Linked DNA regions of Callithrix jacchus. The main gene of each other region encodes a partner of the protein of the gene in region 2 in a complex. Links are inferred from orthologs where the notes say so. Each region holds a gene or a part of one and is shown on either strand. Other genes may lie near its edges.

Evidence for each region. Proteins that work in one complex are often made in the same cells at the same time.
Region 1: the proteins of FGF2 (region 2) and API5 are in contact, whole or in part, in a crystal structure (PDB 6L4O), measured with the Homo sapiens proteins. The link is inferred for Callithrix jacchus from reciprocal best matches to the Homo sapiens genes FGF2 and API5. Residues at the interface, in NP_001997.5 of Homo sapiens: Asn169, Arg181, Arg223, Lys261, Arg262, Thr263, Gln265, Lys267, Lys271, Lys277, Ala278; in NP_001136402.1 of Homo sapiens: Asp145, Arg148, Glu184, Asp185, Val186, Thr187, Glu190, Glu219, Asp222, Gln225, Asn228, Asp231, Arg237.

What each region holds. Positions count from the first base shown.
Region 1 is NC_133511.1:108,379,315-108,382,969, reverse strand, and holds part of API5 (apoptosis inhibitor 5), read right to left. Parts: intron 1,382-3,655; coding exon 1,175-1,381; intron 1-1,174. UniProt on the Homo sapiens protein: Antiapoptotic factor that may have a role in protein assembly. Negatively regulates ACIN1. By binding to ACIN1, it suppresses ACIN1 cleavage from CASP3 and ACIN1-mediated DNA fragmentation. Also known to efficiently suppress E2F1-induced apoptosis.
Region 2 is NC_133504.1:74,737,804-74,741,458, forward strand, and holds part of FGF2 (fibroblast growth factor 2), read right to left. Parts: intron 1,693-3,655; coding exon 1,507-1,692; 3' UTR 1,082-1,506; coding exon of another isoform or gene 684-1,081; 3' UTR 1-683. Other genes in the region: NUDT6 (nucleoside diphosphate-linked moiety X motif 6), read left to right, coding at 684-1,081. UniProt on the Homo sapiens protein: Acts as a ligand for FGFR1, FGFR2, FGFR3 and FGFR4. Also acts as an integrin ligand which is required for FGF2 signaling. Binds to integrin ITGAV:ITGB3.

The DNA.
Region 1 (3,655 bases), on a different chromosome or scaffold from region 2:
TGGAGCATTGGGACATCTATACATTTTAATCTTTTCCTTGATTCTCAGGTCAAATTTGGGACATGGCCAGGCATGGTGGCACATGCCTGTAATCCTAGCACTTTGAGAGGCGGAAGCGGGCAGATCGCCTGAGCTCAGGAGTTTAAGATCAGTCTGGGCAACATGGCAAAACTTCATCTCTACTAAAAATATAAAGAATTAGCTGGGAGTGGTGATGCATGCCTGTAATCCCAGCTGCTTGGGATGCTGAGGCACAAGAATCACTTGAACCCAGAAGGTGGAGGTTGCAGTGAGTGGAAATCATGCCACTGCATTCCAGCCTAGGGGACACAGCAAGACGGTCTCAAAAAAAAAAAAAAAAAAAAAAAATTGGGGGGCACATTTTAGTGTTAGATTTTCAGACTGTGTGTTTCTCAAAAGGGATAGTTCTTTTATTTAATTTTCTTTGTAGAGACGAGGTCTTGCTGTGTTGCCTTGGCTGGTCTTGAACTCCCACCTTGGCTCACAAAGTGCTAAAATGGGATTATAAGCATGAGCCACCACGCCTGATCTAGGATAGTCCCTTTAAGCTGTGTTTTTCAAACTAATGTATGCACATACCAGAAGATGCATGGCCAGAGGAAACACAAAGCCTGAGACAGAATGCAAAATTCTCATGACTTTTAAAAAACGTCTCTAGAAGGCTTTTAAAAAAATTTCTTGGCCAGTCATGGTGGCTCACACCTGTAATCCCAGCACTTTGGGAGGCCAAAGAGGGCAGGCTGCTTGAGCTCAGGAGTTCAAAACCAGCCTGGGCAAAACGGGAAATCCTCGTACCTACAAAAAATATAAAAATTAGCTGGGTATAGTAGTACATGCCTATTGTAGTAGCTAGTTGGGAGGCAGAGATAGGAGGATGGCTTGAACCTGGGAGGTGGAGGCTGCAGTAAGCCAAGATCGTGCTACTGCACTCCAGCCTGGGTGACAGGGCAAGACCCTGTCTCAAGGAAAAAAAAATTCTTTCTCTCAAAAAAATGCAAATATTAAAAAATCTAAAAACACTTCTGGTTCCAAGCATTTCAGATAAGGGACACTACTAGAAAGTTTTAAGGGGAATGTTAAAGTTAGTATTCATGGAAATATACACAGCTAATAGAGTAATCAAAATACCAGGTGTGTAAAATAAAGAGCTCACAGAGAAGAGGGGTACCGCCTGCCGAGTGCACTGTAAGAGCCTGTCCACACAGTCAGGATCCGAGGGATTGAAGGTCTGTTCTAAGTCAGCCTGTTCGGCCACCAACTCTACAAGTTGCTGTCTTCCACTCACTGTCTGTAAGCTTTTTAACCCAGACAGTATCTTCATGAATAGAACAAATTCTTCACCAGTCACATCTTCTAGGACCTGGAAAAGAGACAATTCAGAATAAGAGTATATTTATTATTTGAATGGGAAAGATCAACACTGAAAAAGAATAGCTAATTTATTTCAGTTACTAATGTCAGTTTGATATTAATGCTTCGAAAATACTGATGAAAAGGCAACTTCTAGCCTCGGTCAGTTGAGCTTCAGAGTAAACCAGGCATTCTCCAAGGGGGCAAAAATTCGTTCTTAGAAAATGTTACCTTTTTTATGTGCAAAAGCACAGATATACATACAGGACCATAAACAGATATACAGTATACACTTGGGATTAAAAGTTCATGGGAGAGCAGCTAAGAAAACAGTATCTTTAAAAATTTTTTTAGGGCCGGGCATGGTGGCTCAAGCCTGTAATCCCAGCACTTCAGGAGGCTGAGGCGGGTGGTTCACGAGGTCAAGAGATCGAGACCATCCTGGTCAACATGGTGAAACCCTGTCTCTACTAAAAATACAAAAAATTAGCTGGGCATGGTGGCGCGTGCCTGTAATCCCAGCTACTCAGGAGGCTGAGGCGGGAGAATTACTTGAACCCAGGAGGCGAAGATTGCGGTGAGCCGAGATTGCACCATTGCACTCCAGCCTGGGTAACAAGACCAAAACTCCGTCTCAAAAAAAAAAAAAAAAAAAAAAAAAATTTCTTTAAAAGGCTATTTAGGGGAGTGATTTTAAAAAATGGTTGAAAAATTCTGTAACAGACTGTTGAATCAGATTGTTAATCATATTTAAAAGTAGTCTAATTCATATTAGTATAGTAATTGTTGTACACAAAACAGGACACCTTGCAGGTCTCATATCAAATCTTCCATATCTGTGGGTCTAAATCTTTGTATTCATAGACCAAAGGAGCTCACAGTTATGACATACTCTACCAGATTACCAGCTGGGACATAGGTAAAACAGTCTGATATTCCCAGCTACAGAGCTATTTCTGTCTAACTGAAAAATAATTTTATCAATAAGGAAGCAGCAGTAGTAGTCTGAAATTTCTACAGCCTGAACCATAAGATTTGTCACATGCTTTAGAGAAACCATGAATCTTCTTGAACATATTAAAAAAGTAAACTATTCCCAAACTTGGCACATTGAGTAAAAAGTTAACTGTGACGCACCTTGCCAATCTCAGCATCTACAACTATGCTAGATGCTGGGAGCATAGACAAGCATGGTCATCTCACCATTGAAGAGAGGATAGTGCCATGGGCTAAGGTGAAAATGTCATTTGATGTGATAATATATTTCATTTTGAAATAGTTTAGAATACTATGAGAGAATATCCTGAAATGGAAGGGAGAGGTGGGACTTAAGGAGTTTCCTGAAGGAGGTCATTTGCAGAGTACTGAAAGTTGCATACATTTTAAGGACACTATCACAAAAGGTTTAAATGTAATCAGACTCCTTTAAATTACCAAATTGGTTCATCATTACCTGACAAAAGTGCTGAATGTAGGGTTTAGCCCCACTAGGGTTGTGGGGTGTTTCTTATTGCTTTGCTGAAGCGCTGGATCCGAGAAATAGAGACAGGACACCAAAGAACTGAAAAACAGCAGCTGAGCTGGGGGGCCAACGCCACTTGTAAGTGGAGACAGGCAAGGCTTTGAGTGTTTAGGTGCGTCTGTACTTATTAGGTACAGGACGGGGCGAGGGTAGTGAGTGAGGTTATTTTAAGGATAGTGACAGCGTTAAGACACTTACATGAGTGATAAGCAAAAGGCCTATCCCCATAAGGTCACCGAGGCAAGGAGGTGGGCAGTGGGCAGCAAGGGGTTTACTTCTATTAGGTTACCGAGGCAAGGAGGTGGGCAGTGGGCAGCAAGGGGTTTACTTCTATTAGGTTACCGAGGCAAGGAGGTGGGCAGTGGGCAGTAAGGAGGTAGGCAGTGGGCAGTAAGGAGGGTGCAGTGTGCAACATTTTTTATTTAGGGGCAGGCTACTTTTAAGGATTTTTGTAGGAGGATGTTTTAAGTTAGCCCAGTAGCAAGAGAGCCGACAGGGTTTAGAGCCACCATGGCACAACTATACTGGAGGGGTTTTAAGCCCTCCGACGCTCGTGGGATTGCTGACCTGAGGCCAGCTTTCCACAATAACTAGATGCAAGATAGTACAACTCTTTTATAGGAGGAGTGACTTTTGGTTTAAGCTTGCCATACAGTGGGTATTTTTACAATACTGAACACTGCCACTTGGGCCAGCCTGCCATGTAGTGCATGCCCTTTTAGGCAGGGGCACTACCGCCTGGGTCATAGATTCTTGTCTTGG
Region 2 (3,655 bases):
CCTAGAAAATTGGTGGAGGAAGACAGCTTTATAAAGGGCTTCTCCTAAATGCCTTGGGAAAGAATGACAGCATCACAAAATTAGAGAAAGTACAGTTAGGGGGTCTCTCTAGATGTACAGAAAAGCAGCCACAAAAATATGTTAATGGCAATAAAAACCCCGCCACAGAAATTTGCATTTAATTGAAAAATCAACCGTATATGAAAATCTTTGTTGAATTATAAAATTATTTATATTCCAAGTTTTTGAAAACTTCTGATGAAACACCTACAGCATTTTGGTGTTGAAGGAATGAATCTAAGTTCTTTGGAATCTTATCTCAAGAAACAAGGGAACTGCACCAGTGCAATGTTTTCTTTTCAATCTATATTTTTACCTTTTGGGAAACAGAGCAGCAAGAAGTTAAAAAGAGTTGACCCCAAAAATGTACAGGTGGATAAGCCTCCAAGTAGCAGCCAAAGAAATATTCAGCATTTCAAAAGCTTCTTAAATGTACAGTGATAAGAAAATATTTTGGTGTTCTTGATGTCCACAAGGCAAAGAATTTGTATTGGAAACTTTACTATGTTAGGGTAATGTTTTGAGCCTTTAGATAATGCTACTTTAACTGAAATGAAAATCTTTGATAATACAGTTTCTAAAACTGTAATCCTTATTGATTTGTACATCTCTTTTTTATGTAGGAGTCACAGCAGTTAGAGAAGTTTTTGAAGAGACTGGTATAAAATCAGAATTCAGGTCCCTCCTGAGTATTCGGCAACAGCACGCAAATCCTGGAGCTTTTGGGAAGTCAGATATGTATATCATCTGCCGCCTAAAGCCATACTCATTCACAATAAATTTTTGCCAGCATGAATGCTTAAGATGTGAGTGGATGGATCTCAATGACCTGGCCAAGACTGAAAATACAACTCCTATCACCAGCAGAGTTGCTAGGCTGCTGCTGTATGGGTACAGAGAAGGGTTTGACAAAATTGACCTGACTGTGGAAGAACTTCCAGCAGTGCACACAGGCCTGTTTTATAAACTCTATCACAAGGAACTGCCAGAGAATTATAAAACTATGACAGGAATTGATTAAATTCACATTTATATGTTTAGAAACATGTAAACTAACAAATAAGAAATAGTGGACGTTTGGGATTAAATATCTGACTGTAATTTTCTAATAGATATGATTTCCATGAAGAAATTTTGTTTCTAAATGTACACATTTTAAAATCCTCTTTTCAAATAAAGCAAATGCATGAAAAAGATCATTGCTCTAGGTAAGCTTCACTGGGTAACAGCAGATGCTATATGAAAGGGGGAAGTCTATATATTTTTAAACAATTTTTGTTAGTTTGCTTCACTGGGACAATGGTTACATATTTTACTACTGGATAAAACGTTGTTTGACCAGTTATCTAAACTGAGCTGTACACGTTCATTTTCTTTTTCTCTCATTAACAAATTTCTAAAATATACTTCTTTCATGTGAAATGAGATTAGATGTGGCCATTAAGATCAGCTCTTAGCAGACATTGGAAGAAAAAGTATAGCTTTCTGCCCAGGTCCTGTTTTGGATCCAAGTTTATACTGCCCAGTTCGTTTCAGTGCCACATACCAACTGGTGTATTTCCTTGATCGGTAAGTATTGTAGTTATTAGATTCCAATCGTTCAAAAAAGAAACACTCATCCGTAACACATTTCTGAAAAAAAAAAAGGAAGAATTATTATTATTACACTTTTCATCTTAAATATTTATGATAGTACAATGGCCAGTCTGCTCAACCAGCAGCAGTGGTATTAGGTTCAGCAGGAAAATCAAACTAACAAGATTCAATGGGCCAAAATATATATGACACAGAGTAGCTCTGAAGAAGGATGCAGACCAGGAATACAGCATGTCAGCAGGACAGCACCAACTATGTCTCTTCAGTAGGAGTTCAGAGACCATTCTCCAGCTCCAAAACAGGTCAGGTGTTAAGCACAAGGAAGGACATACCTAGTAAGAAGAAGCACACTATGGGAAGCCCAAAGCTATAGCTTCCAGCTGTATTTATGATCCATCCACATCCCTCCTAGTTCCAAGGCAGATTAACAATCAGCGGTCATTTTTACTTTTATCAGGGGTACAGTGAAGCTGTAGTAGTAGAAGGCTAACCTAGTGTAATCTTTCCATACCGAAGAAGGAGGTTTGTTAATACTTGACTCACAAACAGAATTAATCCCCCAATTTTTAACTACAATTTTTAAGTGGCTAATGTTGTTTTAAGGCATAAGAAGGAATAGTTTATTGTACAGAAAATAGCTAGTGGTATATAATGCCAAAAAATAATATTGGAACATTATATTTCATATGATGAACAATCTCCAAACACTGTTAGACAATGAGAAATAAGTAATGATCATGTTGATTTCTGGCAGTCTCCTTCTTGAGGGATAGACTTTGTCTTTTAATTTCAATCCAACTATTTATTAGAAAAAAAGGATAGCTGGCTTTCAAATAGACCTGGAAATAATACTCCAAATAATGGAATCTAATAACTACCACATTATTTAAGATACATGTTCAAAAAGCAACTTCACAGGGTAGCACTGATGATAACTCTAGGGGGAAAAATCAATTTATTCACTTCAAAATAAAAAAAATCATTTTTATAATTAATGGTTTTGTGTGTGTGTGTATAAACAAATTTACATGTGTTTCCTATATAAGTTTATAATTCTATATGTAGAGAGAGAATTATAAACATATAGAAAACACATGTAAATTTTATCTAAACACATAAGATGTATACAGAGGTATATAAATATATGGTTTTATATTAATACCACATTCTGGGCTGGGCACAGTGGCTCACACCTGTAATCCCAGCACTTTGAGAGGCTGAGGCAGGTAGATCATGAGGTCAGACGTTCAAGAACATCCTGGCCAATGTGGTGAAACCCTGTCACTACTAAAAATACAAAAAATTAGCCAGGTGTGGTGGTGGGTACGTGTAATCCCTGTTATTTAGAAGGCTGAAGAAGGAGAATTGCTTGAACCTGGGAGGTGGAGGTAGTAGTGAGTCGATCATGCCACTGCAGCCCAGGTGACAGTGCGAGACTCCATCTAAAAAAAAATACCACTTCCAGTTTATTTCTATATGCTCATATTTAGAAGATTTCAAGTTTGGAAAAACCCACATTAAAAAGACTTGAACCCTTTCCCAGATTCCTTGGTTCTAAGATAAGGCAAACAATGGCACAAATTGTGACAAAAACAAACTGACAAAACAAGGAAAAGAGCTGGCATAACAAAAATGAAGTAAAGCCTGGGAAAGAACTAAAAGTGACGAATTTGTCTCAGCCATCTAAAGTAAGGGTATGATATTAGATCCTGTAATCTTATAAGAATTTTACTGGATATTTACTTGGTTTTAATATCTTGACCACTGTTAATTGGATTTCTAAAAACTGAAATACAAACTTAACTAATTTGCTCATTATGTAATATGTTACTAATAAACTCAATTCTTTATGATGCAAATAAATCACAGCTTACAAAGAAGCACACATTGACAGGACCCAGCTATATGATACATAGGAGTGTCTTGTGCTGTTCACAAAGATTCAAATGTGGTTAAGAGTGAAACACCTAAACCTGGAATAATATAGACCAACATATTC